Oryctolagus cuniculus: one gene and its partners. The protein of the gene in region 2 purifies or fractionates together with the protein of the main gene of each other region. This does not show direct contact. Links are inferred from orthologs where the notes say so. Each region holds a gene or a part of one and is shown on either strand. Other genes may lie near its edges.

Region 1 (5,230 bases), on a different chromosome or scaffold from region 2:
AGGATGGCCCAAGGGCTTGGGCCCTGCACCCGCACGGGAGACCAGGAGGAAGCACCTGGCTCCTGGCTTCAGATCGGCACAGCGCGCTGCGCCAACCGTAGCAGCCATTTGGAGGGGGGTGAACCAACAGAAGGAAGACCTTTCTCTCTGTCTCTCTCTCTCTCTCTCTCACTGGCTAACTCTGCCTGTCAAAAAAAAAAAAAAGAAAAAAAAAAAAAAAGAAAAGAAAGAAAGAATGAACGAACGAAAGAAGAGTAAATATTTAAGTATATGATAGAGAATCCTAGAGATGAGTTTGTCTCAGCCTAGGAAGGAAATGCACAAGGAGGAAAGGGCATAACAGAAGTGGAGAAAAGAGAACAGCAGGTGCCTCAAGAGCTGCAAGACGCCATCAAGCTGAGGACTACATTCTAGTCTAGAAAAGCAATGGAAGAGATTCTTAAATGAAGTATGGTTCTAGGAAAAAAGAAATGACTTTGGCAGTGACCTGTTTGAAGGAACATGTTAACTATAAAGACCTACAATCCTCTGTCTACAGTACACATAAATGCTCAAAAATGAAACATTAAAGCAGACAAACATTTAAAAAATCTATTCACTAACCATGTGCTTCCACATCATATTCTTCTCCATCATAATCATCTGAATCTTCATCCTCAGGGTCTGGATGCAAGGCCTGACATTCACACATTGCAGTGAACATTGCCTCCACTAAACAAGAAAATGAAGTTTTAACTAAGACTTTTCACCATACAATTTTAATAAAAACCACCAGTGCTAAGAAATTTAACAGGTACACAAGAGGTATACTAGGATAATGTCTGCAAAACCTGCCAGATTCCAAGTAGGACCAATTCTGGAAGTGCCTGAGGCAATGGGCAAGTCACAAAATAAATGTTCATTCTGAGATATTACTGAGATCTCTTCATGGCTAGTTGGATTTTCTGAGAAAAGGGGCCAAGTCCTTGTCAGATCGTTGGTATCAGGGGAATGCCTCTCTCAACCGACAGGGCTCTTTCTAGTTGTCTTGGCATCATCTTCTTGCAATTGCTGTGACTCCTTTGCCATTCATCCTTTAGATGAGATTCGAAGTCAAGAGCATCAATCAATAAAATGAATGAATAAAACTGACCCTCCATTAGCAAAACATACTAGGTAACATGTTACATACAATATGCTTGCTACATTCACAATCGTTATTATAAGTGTCTGTTCTCAGTATTACAGACACAAAAAAGAAAGGGCAATACAACTGACGAAATGTTGATAAAAGTGAGGTGTGTATGTAAGACAACAAGAGAGAGACCATGAACGGGGCTGGGGGAGGACGCTTGTGAAAAAAGGGAAAAGAATCAATACACGGAACACTCACATGCTGATTTATCACCAGGTACAAATCTAAATTCAGAAATAGGTTCAACATCATCATCACTGTCTTCCTCTTCATCAGCAACAAGTTCTTTTGATTCTTCTGGAAAAGGAATAAATAACTTTTTAATATGCCATGTGTTTGACTTAAAAAAAAAAAAGCTAAGAGAATTTCCTAGAGGATGCTTACTGATAAATCTGAATGTTGCACTTCAATTTTTATTTCCAATCGTGGTTATTTTTTAAATTATTTTATTTATTTGAAAAAGTTACAGAGAGAGGTAAAGTCAGAGAGAGAGAGGTCTTCTATCCGCTGGTTCACTCCCCAACTGACCGCAACAGCCGGAGCTGCGCCGATCTGAAGCCAGGAGCCAGGAGCTTCTTCCAGGTCTCCCACGTGGGTGCAGGGGCCCAAAGACTTGGGCCATCTTCCACTGCTTTCCCAGGCCATTAGCAGAGAGCTGGATCGGAAGAGGAGCAGCTGGGACTAGAACCAGCACACATATGGGATGCCAGCACTGCAGGCTGGGGCTTTAACCCACTGCGCCACAGCGCTGGCCCCCCAATAGTGGTTATTTTAGAGCTTAAAAAGGCTCTGAATAGTCTCTGGTCTAGCTGCACAGTGCTTCACTGAGTCCTAAGGATTCCAGAGCCCCTGTGAGGCCAGAATGAGGATGAAAAGACCCAAATACTCAGGTTTCTAATAAGTATAGTTCCAGTCATCTGCTTCTTTTCCCTTTCACCTTGAAACAAAAGGTTCAGCAACACTCTGTAAATCACTAATGTGGTTCATCACCAACAATTTACAGATGAGAAAACTAAAGTCCATAGAAGTCGACTGACCCAACATGTAAGTCAACCAGGTCTGTAGATAAGAAAGAATACAGATTTTTGTTAAAGAAAACTAGCATTATGCTGGTAGTAGTGAAAGCTGCTATAATCACCTTAGAGATACTCATTCCCTACTACCTAGCAATTCCACATCCACATATTGTACCCAAGGAATTTCTGCACAATACTGATGTACTGTATGAACTAATGAAATACTCTTTAAAAAAAGCTAGTTGCAGAATGTATATACTATTTATTTACATTAACATTTTAAATACAAAACAAAACCATTACATGTTGTTTATGAGCATATATGCACACACATCATCTCCTGCAGTCAGAGTAGAGAAGGAAATGCGTAGCCAAACAAAAAGGGTTTTAAGGGTCAGTGTTGTGGTAGAGCAGGTTAAGCTGCCTCCAGTGATGCCAGCATCCCATACGGGTACCGGTTCATGTCCCAGCTGCTCCACTGCTGATCCATCTCCCAAGTGTTTGCACCACTATACCCATGTGGGAGACTTGGATGAAGCTTCTGCCTCCTAGCTTCTGCCTAGCCCAGCCTAGCCTTTGCAGCCACTTGAAGAGTGAACTAGCAGATGGAAGATCTCTCTCTCTCCCCCTCTCTTTCAAATAAATAAATAAATAAATATTTTAAAAAGGGGTGGGAGTTTCAGCAGATTGATGTTTTCTTAAAAAAGCCTACACTAATTATGAAAAAAGTTACAATTTGCACTAGATATTGAATACCTGTTTTACTATTCTCTGTGCTTTTCAATATGCTTCGATTATTTCATAATAAAAGGTATGTTATCAAAACATCTAAATAGATGCTCAAAATTGATAATAATAAAAAATTAAGGCCGGCGCCGCGGCTCACTAGGCTAATCCTCCGCCTTGCAGTGCCGGCACACTGGGTTCTAGTCCCGGCCGGGGCGCCGGATTCTGTCCCGGTTGCCCCTCTTCCAGGCCAGCTCTCTGCTGTGGCCAGGGAGTGCAGTGGAGGATGGCCCAGGTGCTTGGGCCCTGCACCCCATGGGAGACCAGGAAAAGCACCTGGCTCCTGGCTCCTGCCATCGGATCAGCGCGGTGCGCCGGCCGCAGCGCGCCGGCCGCGCCGGCCATTGGAGGGTGAACCAACGGCAAAGGAAGACCTTTCTCTCTGTCTCTCTCTCTCACTGTCCACTCTGCCTGTCAAAAAAATTTAAAAAAATTTAAAAAAAATTAAAAAAAATTAAAAATTTACTATAAATTATAAATTTACATAAAAAATTAAAATTTACTATATTAAAGTTACCATTGACAAAAATGTCAATTATTGGGCTAGCCATGTGACATAGTGGGTAAGGCCACCGCCTGTAGTGCCAGAATCCCACATGGGCAGTGGTTAGAGTCCTAGCTGCTCCACTTCCCATCCAGCTCTCTGCTATCACCTGGGGAGGCAGTGGAGGATGGCCCAGGTCCTTAGGCCCCTATATCCACATGGGAGACCCGGAAGAAGCTCCTGGCTTCGGATTGGCACAGCTCCAGCCGTTGCAGCCACCTGGGGAGTGAACCAGTGATGGAAGGCCCCCTCCCCCTGCTGCCTCTCTGTAACTCTGCCTTTCAAATAAATAAATAAATCTTAAAAAAAAAAAAGTTAATTGTCCATGCTGATGAAGATAAGTAGAAAGGTGGTACATATTTTTTTTAAGAGATTTATTTATTTATTTGAAAGCCAAAGTTACAGAGAAGGAGACACAGAGAGAAATCTTCCATCTGCTGGTTCAATCCCCAAATAGTCTCAACAATTATGGCTGGGCCAGGCCAAAGCCAGGAGCCAGGAGCCAGGAGCTTCTTCCAGGTCACCCACATTGGTGGCAGGGGCCCAGGGACTTGGGCCATCTTCCACTGCTTTCCCAGGCGCATTAGCAGAGAACTGGATAAGAAGTGGGCAGCTGGGACTCTGCAGCCAGGACTCGAACCAGCACCCATGTTGGAAGCCAGCACTGCAGGCAGCAGCTTAATCCACTGTGCCACATCACTTGCCTCAAGGTAGTACCTTTATATACACCACTACTGAAAGTGTAAATTGATGTAAACTTTTTGGAAAGCAATGTCACAAAATACGTTAAGAGCTTTAAAAATGTTTCTTACCTTAATGCAGCGATTTTACTCATACGAAACAACTAAAGGGTTATATCACTAAGTCCTTTTTTTTTTTTTAACTTTTTATTTATTTAAAGACTTATTTATTCACTTGAGAGGCAGAGTTATAGAGAGAGGGAGAGACAGAGAGGTCTTCTATCCAATGGTTGACTCCCCTAAATGTCTGAAATGGCCAGGGTTGGGCTGATCCAAAGCCAGGAGCCAGGAGCTTCCTCCGAGTCTCCCATGTAGGTACAGGGGCCCAAGCACTTGTGCCACCCTCTGCTGCCCTCCCAGGCACATTATCAGAGAGCTGGATCAGAAGCAGAGCAACTGGGACACAAACCGGGGCCCATATGGGATTCTGGCATCGCAGGCAGTGGCCTTACCCACTATGCCACAGCGCTGGCCTCTGATGGTCATTTTTTAAGAGATACTTAATGAAAGCAGACCAAAGAGAAAAATAAATGCAGAACTTGGAGAATCACAATGTGAAGAGCTAAGGCTACAAAAGCATGATCCTAACATGTGTAACTTATGAGAGAAGTTCAAGATAAGTAGGACTGGAGAACTACTGAAATAAACGTGACCCAGGAGGGGCCAGCGTTGAACATAGGGGGTTAAGCTGCCATTTGCAGTGCTGGCATCCCATATGGGTTCCAGTTCTAGTCCTGGCTGCTCCACTTCCAATCCAGCTCCCTGCTAATGCATTTGGGAAAGCAGTGCAAGATGGCCCAAGTCCCTGGACCCCTGCCAACCATGGATAAAGCTCCTGGCTCTGGCCTGGCCCAACCTTGGCTGTGAACCAGCTGATGGGAAACCTCTCATTTCTCTCTGTCTCTCCCTCTCTCTCTCTCCCTTTCAAATAAGCAAAATAAATCTCAAAAAACAAAAACAAACAAAAACC
Region 2 (4,368 bases):
AATAGAAAAATAAGAATGTGTGAAGCTCTTCTCTACAACAGTTTAAATGAGTCCTTTGCCAACACCAAAGTGCCTGCCTCGGGGCACCGGGAGCTCACTTGTGCATCCCTGCCCGACAGCTCTCTACCGTCTTCACAGTGCCACAGCGACAGTGCAGCTGCAGGCCGTCGGCCACCTGCCAGACGCGCTGCAAACGCCCGCTCACGCGGTGGCCCTGTGCTATTTGCCCCTTTTGGTCTTGGCCGTCTTCTCCCTCCTTTTCTTTACATGTTTAGGAATTTTGTTTTTTCTTTTCTCTCTCTGGGCTTCCTTGACCTTCTTTTTTCTTTCCTGTAAAAAACAAACAAACAAAACACAGATTTTCATCATTCAGTGTATTCACAGTACAATTACAACTAAATAACATTGTATGTAAGGAGCTGAAAGTGAAAGTAGCATATAAGATGAATGAAAAAAATTAGGGGTTGGTGGTAGAAGCTGGGGTGAAACGGTCTTTCCACTTTTTAAAAAAAAAAAAAAAAAGATATTTCTTTATTCGAAACAATTAGAGAGGGAAGAAGAGACAGAGGGAGAATCTCATCTGCTGGTTCACTCCCCAGAAGGCCGCAATGGGGCTGAGCCAGGCCAAAGCCAGGGGCTTCACTTGGGTCTCCCACATAGGTGGCAGGGGCCCAAAATACTGGGGCCATCTTCCACTGCTTTTTCCAGGCCATGAGCAGGCGTGGAGCCAAGAAATGAATTGGAGCAAAGGGATTTAAGCTCCTGACCAACCTTTTTATCAACATCAGGGTCAGTGGTGTGTTTCTTGCAGTGGGCGTGGTCGCCCCGCTCTTCAGAGTCTGTGTCGGAGCACTCAGAGCTGCCGGCTCCTTCTGAGTCAGAGTAAGTCTTGTCCTGAACTTGGTTTTCTAGCAGAGCAGGGACCTAGAAATCATTACAGATAATGTTACCCTAACCGACCTGTTATCGTTGTAAGTGAATGTGCTAAGGCCAGAATTCAGATCTCAGCCTTGCAGGTGTACTCAGAACAACACGATGACAAACAACAGAACCGACACCGGGGAGGGAGAGAGGGAGACCAGGGCACCCATGCCACTGCCGCTCACGAGCACAGCTGAACGGAGCTTTCCTGAGCGGCCAAGCCCACGACACCTGTTCTGCTTCTTTCAGCACCTCAGAGAGGCTGGCTGGGGTCTGGAAGGATGTGAACATACAGAGAGGCAAGAACAAAGGCTGGTCTGGCTGACTTCCCGGGTGTTTTCCTACAAACCACATTGCTAGCAATAAGCTAATCCAATCGAGAGGGAAGGATTATCTTCCAAAAAGAAGAAAATTTCATTTTTCCTGTAATCAAGCAGGTTTTTAAAGCAACAGAAACATTTTTTAAGAGTAAGGATTCCTTTTTACAAGAAAACAGATCCTTAAGAGGCAACTGTACAGAAAGCGTTTCTAGCCAGTTGTCACTGAATATTCCTGCTCTGGAATCCAAGGCACCACTTCCCTACAACACCTGTCATTTGTAATGCAGAAATGCAGAACACTGGTGTTTCACTCACTTCACTCTTCCTACAGAAACGACAGTCAACTTTCAAAAAGCAGTAATCCTTCACTTATGCCCTTAAGATTGAAGAAAGAGCGAAGCCTTTATCACTACCTAAAATGGAATTCCTTAGTCCCACTCCTCAAAAAATGTAAGGTAAAAGACGACCAGGTTGAAGAAAGAACACTGCAGGAATCCAGCACAGGGCTGCTCTCAAGAGTTAACGCCTTGGAGTAGACACAGTCCAGACTACGTCTGAACACTGGCCGTAAAACAACCAAGAAGCACAAGGCGGTCCCTAGTTTAAACTCCACAAATGAAGGCAGGACACAGGAAAGACAAACGCCTCACATACGACAAGGGAGAATTTCCAGGACAGAATCAGGAATAAGCCGACCGCTCTTAGTATTATGGCTAGAAACATAAAAGAGAGCACTTCTGAAAATGTGCATAGGCTTTGCATTTTATTTAGTAACAACATAAACTTAGTATTTTATTTAGTAACAACATAAAACAACACCAATAGAATTCTAGTAACGCACTACACTCCATTCTCTATCCTTTGCAAGGGTTTCCCCATAACAAACAAGTAGCACATGGGCTCCATACCTCCTGCACGCCTGACAGGTCCTTCTTCAACCCTGTGACGGTCTGGTACAGGATCTTGTAACCGAGAGGGAAGAAAACAAGAAACATCATCAAACTAGACACACTGCACAATCAAGAACACAGTGGGCTACTTTATCTTCTGTGACTGGGTTCATCTGAGCAACACAGAAAGCCCATGGCATGGCTGTCACTCTTGTATACCAGGGAGGCCAGGCCCACAGGTCATTTCCAGCCTGGAGATCTGCACAGGTGAACATCTGTGATCAATGGGAAGACAGCAAACGCTAACTTGGAACTCCATTAAGGAAATGCCATCTATCTACCCTCTCCAATAATTACATTCTTCTCTCATTAGCTGACCTATATTTCAAAAAAATTTTGGGGCCGGTGCTGTGTTGTAGCAGGTAAAGCCGCTGCCTGCAGTGTCAGCATCCCATATGGGTGCCAGTTCTAGTCCCGGCTGCTCCTTTTCCGATCCAGCTCTCTGCTATGACCTGGGAAAGCAGTGGAAGATGGCCCAAGTCCTTGGGTCCCTGCACCCACGTGGGAGACCCAGAAGAAGCTCCTGGCTCCCGGCTTCATATCGGCGCAGCTCCGGCCGTTGTGGCCAACTGGGGAGTGAACAATTGGATGGAAGACCTCGCTCTCTCTCTCTAACTCTGACTTTCAAATAAATAATCTTTTTTTTTTTAAGTTTTTCCCAAAATATGTATGTTAATGAAATATATATGGCTGATGGATCTAGAACAGCCACTTACAACACCGACATATACACAAACCTCCCCTTTCCTCTAACTAGTCTGTTGTGTCATCCCCCAACAAACACCAACAAACTCCCCTCCCATCCACCATGCACACAGACATCCAACATCCCAGAGACCGGAAGTCCAAAGGTCCCAAGTGTGGGCAGTGCCTTTCTCTCATGCACCTGCCTGCCACACAGACCCAGCTCCTCACATTATCCTGCTGAGCATTCAAGGCCATGTCCTCTTCCTTCAGTTTCATCATTATGTCCACATCTCTCTCGTAGTTTTTCACTTCATTCAGGGTTCTAGGAATATATGCCCGCTTAAACACCTACAAGGGAGGGAAAGCACACCCAGAGCTGTTACCCACATCTCACACTCCCTCAGCATCCTCGCCCCACCAGCCACGGAGGGGTCCAGACGAATTGCCGTCTCCGACACGGTTCGCAGCCAAGCTGTATGCACGCACCGCTGCTGCATCTGCTGTGGGCAGTGCCGGACGTAACCTGCTCCCAATACAAAACACTAGCTTTTGACAGGATTTAGGAGAGGAAACAGCAGACCCCAGGTTATCCTTAGATAAAACCTCTCTTCCTTCTGCATTCCACAGAGCAGGAGGGGAAGGGATGGAGTTCGCTGGCAGGCGCAGGCTCTGCCTGAGGCAGTGATCCCTCACGGCACCATCACCCTCCCAGCTACTACGGTCAAAGAGGCCACCTTGTATTTCTCTACCTCACTACAAGCTCATGAATGCAAAAAAGAGACAAAACAGGCTATTATGGGAGATGGTGCTGTGGCGTAGCAGGTGAAGCTGCTGCCTGTAGTGCCGGCATCCCATATGGGTGCCAGTTCAAGTCCCAGCTGCTCCACTTCTGATCCAGCTCTCTGCTATGGCCTGGGAAAGCAGTAGAAGATGGGCCAAGGACTTGGGCTCCTGCACAGGCATGGGAGACGTGGAAGAAGCTCTTGGCTCCTGGCTATGGGTTGGCACAGCTCCAGCCATTGCAGCCATATGGGGAGTACACCACTGGATGGAAGACTTCTCTCTCTCTTTCCTTCTCTCTCTCTCTGCCTCTGTCTCTTTGTAATTTTGCCTTTCAAATAAATAAATAAATCTATTTAAGATAAAAAAAGCCTATTACAGATCCTTTACCAAAAATGTCTTGATAAAAATATTTCTGGAATCCACATGAAGTCATTTAAGAATCCACATGTGCAGGCTAAAACGGGCCTTTTCTTTTTGACTCACAGAGCCCTACAGGCTCTTCATAAATGTTCTCCATCCAAACGAGGGCTAACAGGCTGCCGGGCGGATGGGCGGACTAACATCCTGGAATGTAAATTACACCACTTGAGCAGCTGACCTAGGTACCAGATTATGTCTCAAGGATACTCATCGTCATTATTAAAAAACTGCTTATCTACTAAGATCATGCCTTTTAGCAATATGGAAAAAAAAAAAAAAAGAAATCT
Region 3 (5,688 bases), on a different chromosome or scaffold from region 2:
GGAGCAGCTTGGACCTGAACTGGCACCCATATGGGATGCTGGCACTGCAGGTGGTGGCTTTACCTGCTAGCCACAGTGCTGGCCCTTATCACTATCTTTCAAAGAAATAAATCTAAAAAGATTAATCGGGCCAACACTGTGGCATAGGGGATAAAGCTACTGCCTGCCTGTTAGAGTCTCAGCTACTCCGTTTCCGATCCAGCTTCCTGCTAATGGGCCTGGGAAAGCAGCCAAGGATGGCCCAAATACTTAGGCCCCTGCACCCACATGGGAGACCCAGAAGAAGCTCCTGGCATCGGATCTTTCCAGCTCCTGTGGTTATGGCCATCTGGGAAGTGAACCAGTGCATGGAAGATCTCTCTCTTTGCCTCCCTCTCTCGGTGACTTGGACTTTCAAAAAAAAAAAAAAACCATCAAAAAGATTAGTCACATTTCCTCACATTTCCTTTCCTGTGTGGGGTTGGGGAGGGGGGACGGGGACACCCAAACATTGAATATTATGTCACTGTTGGCTTTCTTCCCCCAAATGCCGCAAAGTGTGTGTGTGCTTTTAAGATTTATTTATTTGAAAGAGTTAAACAGAGAGGAGAGGCAGAGAGAGAGAGAGAGAGGTCTTCCATCTGCTGGTTCACTCCCCAAATGGCCGCCAACGGCCAGAGCTGTGCTGATCAAGAGCCAGGAGCTTCTTCCTAGTCTCCCACGTGGGTGCAGGGGCCCAAGGACTTGGGCCATCTTCTGTTTCACAGGCCATAGCAGAGAGCTGGACAGGAAGTGGAGCAGCCGGGTCTCGAACTGGCACCCATCTGGGATGCCTGAGCTTCAGGCCAGGGTGTTAACCCACTGTGCTACAACGCAGGCCCCACAAAGTGGTTTACAGACAACAAAATTCCTCTAGGGAGGCGCTCTAATGTCCCAAGAGGTCATAAGGTTTCCTGGTGAGCAAGGAGTCCCAGCTTCTGGCTTTTTGCTCCTTAAAGGTTAACATGTGAGTGGCCAGGGCTCCCTGGTTTAATCCTCCGTTTGCAGCGCCGGCATCACATGTGGCCGCCGGGTTCTAGTCCTGGTGGCTCCTCTTCCAGTCCAGCTCTCTGCTTTGGCCCGGGAAGGCAGTGGAGGATAGCCCAAGTGCTTGGACCCTGCACCCACGTGGGAGACCAGGAAGAAACACCTAGCTCCTGACTTCAGATCGGAGCAGCTCCGGCCGTAGCGGCCATTTTGGGAGTGAACCAAGGGAAAGAAGACCTTTCTATCTATCTGTCAAAAAAAAAAAGAAAAAAAGAAAAAGTTAACGTGATTATCACGCGTGGTCGGTGGCCAGCAGGGAAGGCAATGAAGGCCCTTGCTGCATGGGAGGCACCCCTCTTAGTCCTTAGAGGCAAAATGGGGAATAACTGGTGGCAGACCCAAATCTCAGCGTGGGAAGGTCGGAGCCCTGGTCGGATTCCACCACTAGTGCAGAATATTTAACCGTGTCCACACATTGCAGCTGTTTGAACAGCTGCCCTGGTTCCCAATAGACTGTTGTAACTCGAGGTGGGGCGTCGCTGGCTGCTAGGTTGTCTCGTTCGTTGAGGTTGTTAGGGTCTAATTCCAGTGGACCCAGAAAGAGGGTGAAACGTGGCTGGAGCCTCAAACTGCATTCTGAGTTTTGACAGCTCGGCTTCAGACGGTGTCAGGGCCGCTCCGGTATTCGTGTTCTAATGGGGAATGGAGGTTTTGCAGCTGAACACATCGGGTGTGGCAGAGTGGAGCTGGGATTCGGCCCTGCCGGCCCAGCCCGCGTTCCAGGCCGGGCGTTTGCGCGTGGGAGCCACCAGAACCAGTACTCCAGACTGGCTCCGTTTCTCACCGGGTAGGCAGGGGGCTCTGCGGTGGCGACGCGCCCCGCCCCCGGCGTCCTCGTGACCCGGTGTCCCGCCCCCGCGGCCGGGAGCACCCCGGCTGATTGGCCCCTGCGCGGCGTATCCTCAGGCTGGCAGCCAGGCTGGCGCATCACGTGGCCGAGCCGCGTCCAGGGCGCCCAGCCGTGGGCAGCTCGGCATGGACCCGCAGGCCGCCGGGGCCCGGGCACGGGGCGTCACGGAACCGCCTCGGGGCCCGCCGCTACCGAGCACGCGGGAGGCGCCCCGCAGCCTGGAGGTGAGCGCCGCGCGCGGGCCGAGCGCCGCCACCACCTGCAGCCAGTGCGGGAAGTTGGGGGCTCGCGGGGCGGTGCCCGGTGCGGGGCGCGGACAGCGCCACGGGCCGCTCCACAAGCCCTGAGCGCCGTTTGGGCTCGCGCTGGAGCTGGAAACGGCTGGCCGAGGAGCAGCGGGGCTTCGAGGCTGCCGGGCCGGGAGCTCCGAGGGGCGTGGGTGGGCGCGCCGGTCCCACTGAGGCTATTGGCCCACAGGGCGCCTCTGCGTACTTACTAAATGGGAGGTGATGTTGGGGACGGAGAGCTGGGGCCCGCTACTAGGGGCCTGGGCCCCGGCCAGGTGAGGGCTGCAAGGGGAGGGCTTCGCCTGGAGGAGCCCTGTTCACTGACTGAGGGTGGGGGGACGCTCACTATCCCCCGAGCGCTGAGGGGTGGGTGGGTGTCCCATGCACTCTCCGTTTACGGAGACCCGAAGGCCAGGTTTGACGCAGGGTTTGCAGAAACTTGCTTTCAGGTGCGCTCCAGGCAGCCCCCGTGTTTCCGAGACCGCTGTCGCAGTGCTCGCCTGTCCTTGTCTACAGTGTCTGCCTAGACGACAGCTCCTCCGTTTAGGGCTGGGAGCCCAGCGCCTAGCACGCGGGACAGGCGTAGTAATTGGGTGGACACAGCAGAGATGGGCCTTAACCAGAGACGTGCACGCGGCGGCAACGCTTGTAGTCGGGGAGAGCAGGGAGGGCTGCGCGCTGGCTCTCGCAGGTGGGAGTCCGGTGGTGCCTGCGGAGGCTGGCCAGGAAGAAGCGCAGGGCAAGTGGCTCAGAGCTGGGGCGGCGGCGTGGAGAAGCATGCTGAACAGGTCGTGGGGGGCGGGTGCCTTTGTGTTTGCTGGTGGAGGGCTGTTGAAGCTGTTGACCAGAGTGGTGATTAACCCTGTGGGTGGGGGAATTCGGAGGTCAAGGCCTCCTTAGCTTAGCCTCATCCCGCTGGTGGGCAGCCCTGAGCAATTGCTGCTGACCACTGGAAGTGGAATCACTTAAGGGAGGCATGGCTAGGCGAGGAGTGATGATTGGATTGAAACAGGTGCAGTTTAGATGTAGGATCAGAGGAGGTGAGTCTAAATTCTAGACGCCTCGCATTCCTGCCCGTGCGCTGGGAGAGCTCTTAGACGTTAGGTAGTAGGAACCACTCTCCCCTGTTTCCAGGGAAGAAAGCCCAGGGGCTGAAGCCAGGTGGCCCAGACAGTACCCTGAGTGGCAGAGCTGGGGCTGAAGGTGGGGCTTCCTGCGAGCGCTTCTGGGGCAATTAGAGCGTTTGGGAGACTTGTGGGTGCTGGAGGCAGAGAAGCTTCCGGCCGGCTGCAGGGGAGGGTGATTTCCAGCTGGTTTAGAGCTGTTTATTTCAGCCAGCACCACTCAGGACAGAGAGTTCCACTCCCATCCTGTGCCAGTGAGAAGAGGCAAAGAGTTGTGAACTAAATACTAAGTAACCAGAAAGGTCAAAAAGATGTCTGGAGGAAGCAGTGGGCAGGAAACAGCCAGGACAGCTCTGCAGAGCTGAAATCCAACCTGCTGCAGCTGGTGCTGAGGTCTCTGAGCTGGGAGAGTAGGGACCCTGGGCTCCAGACCTCTGACAAGAGGGCCCAGTGATGACACGGCCACCTCAGGTGTCCACACAGCTGTAGCCAGGGGTGCAGCCGTGTTGTTGGGATGGTGCCTGGAGAATTAGAAAGGCCAGCTGGATCTAACAGGGGGAGACAGAAATGTGGATCCCCATCAAGAGTGTGGGACTGGGACTCGACCTGAGAGGCAATGGCTTAGTACCAGGATCCGGGGCACCTGAGTTCCTGGTAATCGGTTGTTCTTCCTGCAGGCCACCTTCGCCACAGCAGACCCCAGTGGTCCAGAGACAGAGGCTGAGACGGCCACGGATCGACTAGGCAAGTAGATGTCGGAGCGGCCGTGATGGTCTCTACGTCTTGTTTCCCTGTTCCTTCTAACCAGCCCTCTGCTGCCGAGGTGCCTCCCCTGTCGCGTTTCAGCAATGCTTTCCGTTGAAAGCCCTGCCCAGGCTACCGTAAGGGAAATCCTGGACTTGGCTTACATCCCAACTCATCTCTTCAACTGAGAGCCAGCTCGCAGCCGTGACACGTGGGGGCTTGGGAGGCAGGCAGAATTGTATTTTCAACTCTGAGAGCCCTGGAATGGAGTATCATGGACTTGACAGTGAGACGAATAAGACCTACTCCCTAGGGTTGTTCTCAGGATTGGGGGACAGAGCGAGGAATCGTGTGGGTCTGTTACAGCAGCCGCTAGCCACAGGTGCAGTTGAAGTTAGTTCTAAGGCAGTACCACAGGAAACTCAGCTTCTCAGGCCACATTCCACGTGCTCAGTAGCCACGTGTGGGTAGTGCTGCCTTGTTGGACAGCAGTGATGCTAGAACATTTCCGTCTCGGCAGGAAGTTCGAATGGGAAGTGTTGGTCTAGATCACGCAGTCGCAGGTGTAACAGTCCCAGTAATGGAAACCTTTGAGCGCTCCTGTCGACAGGTGTAGTCTGTTTCTATTGTTTCCTTTCCCCCCCCCCACATCTCACAACAAACCTGTCTCCATTTTACAAATGAGGAAACAGATACAGCGTAGTTAATACAAAAAAAAAGTTTTTTTAAAATTTTATGTACTTGAAAAGTAGAATGAGGGGGTGGGGAAAGAGGGAGATATCTTCCTCTGGTTTACTCCCCAAATGGCCTCATTGTCTGGGGCTGGCCCAGGCTGAAGCCAGGAGCCTGTAACTCCACTGGGGTCTCCCCCAGGGGTGGCAGGGGCTCAAGCACTAGGGTCATCTTCCTCTGTCTTCCCAGGGACATCAGCAGGGAGCTGGATAAGATGTGGAGCAGCAGGGACTTGAAACAGCACCCATATGGGATGCTGGTATTACAGGTGGCAGCTTAACCTGTGCCACAGGGCTGGCCCCCATACAAAAATTTTTTTAAAACTTTTTCTTCTGTTTATTTGAAAGCAGTGGGGGAAGGGGGAAGCAGGGCAGAGAGAGATCTTTCATGTTCTAATTCACTTGAAAAGCCTCCCAGGGCTGAGCCAGGCCAAAGCCAGCAGCTGAAAACTCAGTTTGGGGATCTTACGGGTGGCAGGGACCCAAGTACTTGACCCAGGTACACTTCCCAGGGCGTGTATTTGCAGGAAGCTGGATTAGAAGTAGAGGAACCGAGACTCAAACCTGGCACTGCTATATGGGATGTGGACATCTCAGCTTCATCTTAAGTGCTGTGCCAAATGCCTGTCCCTTCCCCGAATTAAAAAAAAAATTAGGAGGGCTGGTGCCGTGGCAGAGCGGGAAAAGCTGCCGCCTGCAGTGCCAGCATCGCATATGGGCGTCATTTCGAGTCCCAGCTGCTCCACTTCTGATCCGGCTCCCTGCTAAAGGCCTGGGAAAGCAGTGGAAGATGGCCCAAGTGCTTGGGCCCCTGCATTAGTGTAGGAGACGCGGAAGAAGCTCCTGGCTTCGGATCAGCTCAGCTCTGGCCATTGCAGCCATCTGGG
Region 4 (4,681 bases), on a different chromosome or scaffold from region 2:
TTCCTTCTTTCTCCTCCTGGCCTTAGCTGTTTTGTTTTTATTTCCCCTGTGTGTTATTTGCACTTGGCTTGGGTGTTGGAGAAGCAGTTCCGTGTTCTCCTGCCTGCTAGTTTTCTTCTAAAATTATAGGCTCTAATATCTACCTCCATTTTCCTTATTTCTGTTTGGTTTTTAAGTTATATTTATTTTATTTGAAAAGCTGAGTTACAGAGAGAGAGAGACATTTGCTGGTTTATTCCCCCAATGCCTGTAATGGCCAGGGCTGGGCTAGGAGCCAGGAACACCACCCTGGTCTCCCACAAGGATGGCAGGGGCCCGAGAACTTGGGCCATCGTCTGCTGCTTTTCTGGCCACATTAGCAGGGAGCTGGATCAAAAGTAGAGCGGCAGAGACTCAGCCAGCACTCACAGATGCCAGTGTCACAGTTGGCGGTTTAACCTGCTACGCCACAACACCGGCCTCTCATTTTCCCTGTTTCTGTTGATGCTCTTACCTCCTTCTCAGTCACAGAGAGTTCAGACTCAGTCCTCTTCCACTTCTGCTGTCCCTCTGCTGTTGGTCCCCAGGGTCTTGTGAGTCTTCTTCCATTTGGTCCATCCCCTCACTGTGCATTTCTCCTGCGCCCAGTCGTTTTCAGGCCCTTCCGCACACAGACGGAAGCCCTGTCTCACACCTGGAACCTTCGGCTCTTTTGGTCGTTTATTGGTTCCTGTCTGTAGATCAGAATACTGTTTTTATGTCATGGCTTGCAAGCCCTTTTTACTGTCATTCTCCTTGCAAGCATGTAGTCCTGGCCTAAGCCAGTCACAGTAGATGCTTGACATTCTTGAGGGAAAGCCCTGAGAATTGTGAATCTTGAACTTTTGAATATTCCCTTCCATAAAATGTTTATTTTCCTGGTCAGAACCATTTTTTTTTTTCCCCTATGTTTTTCCTTTTTGCTTTCATGAGCAACACGAGCCGTTGGGAGCCATTCCTCATGAAGATAATGTCTAGAACATAAAGTGCGGCTCCGGGCTGTAGATGCTGGGTGATCCCTGTGGGGGTCTTCCAGTGGCTGGGTCCCTTTCCCTCACATGATCCACCTATAGGCCAGAGCAAAAATCACCGACTCGCACATCTCCCGGGCCTCCACATAAAGGGCAAATAGTGTTGAAACGCCAGTGCCCCCAGTCTACTACGCTTGCCTTTGATTTCTTAGACATGTGATGTGCTTTCCTGGATGATGCTAGCTGTTTTTCAGCATTTCCTTCATTCGTGTCTCAGTCCTGACACGGATGTCCAAAGCCTTTGAGAGCAGAGGAACCACGTTTCCTTTCTTCATCTTTTGTATATCTCCACGGTGCTTATCTCAGAGCTTCGCTTTTTTCCAGGGAGCAATAAAGTCCTTTTCTAGCTTATCATCCATTCATTCCAGGGCTGGGAGAGAACTGTGGAAGGCAGTTTACTTCCACCCTTCTGTGTCAGAGCGGAGCTACTCAAACTGTCGTGGCAAGTCTAACTGAAGGACTCTAGAGAAGTGGTTTCCACAGCCCCTGATTAACACTTAGCAGTGATCATCAAAAATGTTTACCCGTAGAATGTTTTGAAAACTACTCCCTCATATGTTTTTAATGCTAGCTAAAAGATTTTAAGCTGCGAAAGAGATAGTTTCTAACATCATTTATCAAATACTTATATACTTTTCAAGTATTTATTTGTTAGCATTTTTGATTTGCAGATTAAGCCTATTTGATTTGTACAAAATGTCTTCTCAAATAGCCTTTCAGGTGAAAATCCAGTATGCATTGTTAAGCCAGTTTCATAAATTAGACTTAACTTTTTATCAGAAAAAGTTGAATTCATTGCTAAATTCTGGCAAACTTGTAGGAAGTGTCTTCCTACAACACCTATCAGATCTTTCAGTTGTTTTTGTTAGGTGCAGGTAAGGCGCAGAGCCATAATGGAGTTCTTGATGTGACTGAAACAAGCTAAGTCCCCTTCACTAAATTTTGCCAGTGTTCCTGCTCTGTAGCTCCCTGGCTCTTAGGAAAAAGCCCCTTTTGTTCTTTAGTTTGGAATCTTTGAATTTTACACCCCATGAAAAGGTTTGGGATGAGTAAGAGCCATGTGTTCCTTCTGTAAGGTAGGAGACACATGATTGAAAGTAGAGGCAGTTGAATTTTAGGCAAGAGAACTTTGGAGAAATTGATTTTCCTAAGTATCCGCACCCCGAACTTCCTCAAAAATTGTGTGTTTTACTTGGAGATACAGGAGCTCCAGTTATGAAGACTGCTATTCCAAACTTGGCTCTTGTATCCAGGATACCTTACCTGAGTTCACTGTGCTGACTAAGCCCCTCATTTCTCCTTCATCATCTTTGCAAATTTTTTGCCCAGACATTTTTAGGTTTTATAACACTTTAGCCTTTTTTATTTAAAAAAAAGAGATTTGTTTATTTATTTGAAAGTCAGAGTTATGCAGAGAGAGAGACAGAGAGGTCTTCCATCTGTTGGTTCACTCCCCAAATGGCTGCAATGGCCGGAGCTGCACCGACCCTAAGCCAGGAGCCAGGAGCCTCTTCTGGGTCTCCTATGCAGATGCAGGGGCCCAATGACTTGGGCTGTCTTCTGCTTTCCCAGGCCACAGCAGAGAGCCAGGTCAGAAGTGGAATAGCCAGGACACGAACCGGCACCCATATGGGATGCCAGCGCTTCAGGCCAGGGCCTTAACCCGCTGTGCCACACGGCCGGCTCTGGCACTTTAACCTTTCTTCTTAGGTTTTGTCTAGTCCTTTTCTCTCACAGAATTTGCTAAATGATAACAGGCCTGTGTCTTCAGATTCCCTCTCACCCCTTGATTGTATCTGGCTTGCCTTGTAGAGCCCTCAGTTGCCTCTGTCATGTTTCATTTTCTCTCTCCTTCACAGCTCACGCTGGGCAGGTCACCTGTGTTGCTGCCTCTCCCCATAAGGACTCCGTGTTTCTTTCGTGCAGTGAGGTGAGATACTGCCTCTGCTCTCCTAACCACACACCAGCCCTCTGTAGGCCAGAGTCTCTGGTGTGGAGAACTGGCCAGCAGTTGGTCCTTTGGCTTGTGAGACCATTTGAATGCTCCTCTTTCTTTTAGGACAATAAAATTTTACTGTGGGATACCCGCTGTCCCAAGCCGGCATCACAGATGGGTGAGTCTGAGAGCCTTGGTGGGGAGGCCCTAGGAGCTTACCTGGAAGAGACGTTCTCTGACTAGAGTAAAAGGAATACTGCTGTATGTGACATAAGTGACATAATTTTTTTTCAGCTGGGGCTCTGCTAACCCCACTCTATGCAATGAGTACAAAGAAGGAGGGAAAGGGGCTGGTTCCTGGGGGGTGATTTGCTTGGTCAGATGAGTGGGCAGAGGGCCGGAATTGGTATCTTCATGCTTTTTGCTTGAAACTTGGCTTATGTCTGGAAAGCACAGGAGGCTGATGGATTAAGGTAGTTTATGAGGTGCAGGACTGAGGACCTGCTGCCTTAGCAGGGTGTGGGAAACGAAGTAAAGGTGCTCCTTGGAGTTCGAGTGACTTCTGTTGAGAAAGTGCTTCCTGTGGGTTCTGAGTTTTGTTCTGGATCCTTCTTTCCTTTGCAGGCTGCAATGCCTCTGGCTACCTTGCTACTTCACTGGCTTGGCATCCTCAGCAAAGTGAAGTCTTTGTCTTTGGTAAGGCAGCGTGTCAGACTGCGTGTTGGCTCTGGGCACGGGCGGGTGGGAGAGGAAGCTCACTGGGTGCTGCACCGGCTCTTGCTGCTCCATCGCACAGCAACTTGAGCACTTGATGGATGGCAGTAATGGAGGGGTCAGGAAGGGGCATGACTCAAAAGTACTTGCGATTTAGCTTTGGCGAGCATAATGGGTTTTTTTTCCGCAGTGAATTGATTCCTGTTTGTTCTGGCTCCCATATTCTGGGCATGCCTAGTGGTTAGTGAGCCACAAAGCAAGTGCTTTGTTGTGTTGGGAATTCTCTCCCATTGTGTGTTGAGTGGTACTGTTGTCTTGGTAATAAGGCCAAGCGTATGATGATGTAGCTTATGGTTAAAATGACAGCTGCTTCATTCATTCACGCAGTTTTCACAACCACCTCATAGTTGTTATTCCTACTTTGCAAAAGAAACTGATGCTCAGAGCAGTCGACTTGTCTGGGCTTGAGAAACTGGGATTCAGATCTGGATCTGGCTGACCCCACAGCCCGTGTGCTTAACCTCGGCGCCGTGTTCCCTTTGTTCTGCAGGTGATGAGAATGGGACTGTCTCTCTTGTGGACACCAAGAGTGCGGGCTGTGCGCTCAGTTCAGCTGTGCACTCGCAGTGTGTCACTGGGCTGGTGTTCTCGCCCCACAGGTACTGTCCTTTGTCATCGGGGACCTGAGGGGCCTGAATGGGAACGGGTGTGGGTGAAGCACTGCTGACTGGGCGGCTCCTTGGAGCGCACGGTGCTCTGGCCCCGCTCTCAGAGCCTCAGAGATCTCTCAAGCCCCGTGGACCTTTCTTGGGTTCCATAGGCTCTGTGAAAATGGCTGAAAAGGGGCCTCATTTTTGCTTAGCAGCCAAAGTGACTAATCCGTGGGCTCCTGGGCTGGGTGTGGGGAGAGCCTCTGTTTCTGGGTTGCTGCCGAGGCCACAGAGAGGGGCCAGATGCGATGGTTTGTGGCCAGGATAATGGC

The links.
Region 1: the proteins of RIOK1 (region 2) and CLNS1A purify together in Homo sapiens (affinity purification with mass spectrometry; 3 studies listed by BioGRID and IntAct, with this or other methods). This does not show direct contact. The link is inferred for Oryctolagus cuniculus from reciprocal best matches to the Homo sapiens genes RIOK1 and CLNS1A.
Region 3: the proteins of RIOK1 (region 2) and COPRS purify together in Homo sapiens (affinity purification with mass spectrometry; 3 studies listed by BioGRID and IntAct, with this or other methods). This does not show direct contact. The link is inferred for Oryctolagus cuniculus from reciprocal best matches to the Homo sapiens genes RIOK1 and COPRS.
Region 4: the proteins of RIOK1 (region 2) and WDR77 purify together in Homo sapiens (affinity purification with mass spectrometry; 5 studies listed by BioGRID and IntAct, with this or other methods). This does not show direct contact. The link is inferred for Oryctolagus cuniculus from reciprocal best matches to the Homo sapiens genes RIOK1 and WDR77.

What each region holds. Positions count from the first base shown.
Region 1 is NC_091432.1:68,739,991-68,745,220, forward strand, and holds part of CLNS1A (methylosome subunit pICln), read right to left. Parts: intron 1,472-5,230; coding exon 1,373-1,471; intron 712-1,372; coding exon 604-711; intron 1-603. UniProt on the Homo sapiens protein: Involved in both the assembly of spliceosomal snRNPs and the methylation of Sm proteins.
Region 2 is NC_091436.1:163,159,181-163,163,548, forward strand, and holds part of RIOK1 (serine/threonine-protein kinase RIO1), read right to left. Parts: intron 3,227-4,368; coding exon 3,107-3,226; intron 2,204-3,106; coding exon 2,150-2,203; intron 925-2,149; coding exon 772-924; intron 331-771; coding exon 220-330; 3' UTR 1-219. UniProt on the Homo sapiens protein: Involved in the final steps of cytoplasmic maturation of the 40S ribosomal subunit. Involved in processing of 18S-E pre-rRNA to the mature 18S rRNA. Required for the recycling of NOB1 and PNO1 from the late 40S precursor.
Region 3 is NC_091448.1:42,255,122-42,260,809, forward strand, and holds the start of COPRS (coordinator of PRMT5 and differentiation stimulator), read left to right. Parts: upstream 1-1,948; 5' UTR 1,949-2,040; coding exon 2,041-2,139; intron 2,140-2,229; exon of another isoform or gene 2,230-2,414; coding exon of another isoform or gene 2,415-2,477; intron 2,478-4,003; coding exon 4,004-4,070; intron 4,071-5,688. UniProt on the Homo sapiens protein: Histone-binding protein required for histone H4 methyltransferase activity of PRMT5.
Region 4 is NC_091438.1:58,932,559-58,937,239, forward strand, and holds part of WDR77 (methylosome protein WDR77), read left to right. Parts: intron 1-2,908; coding exon 2,909-2,979; intron 2,980-3,108; coding exon 3,109-3,163; intron 3,164-3,609; coding exon 3,610-3,681; intron 3,682-4,249; coding exon 4,250-4,358; intron 4,359-4,681. UniProt on the Homo sapiens protein: Non-catalytic component of the methylosome complex, composed of PRMT5, WDR77 and CLNS1A, which modifies specific arginines to dimethylarginines in several spliceosomal Sm proteins and histones.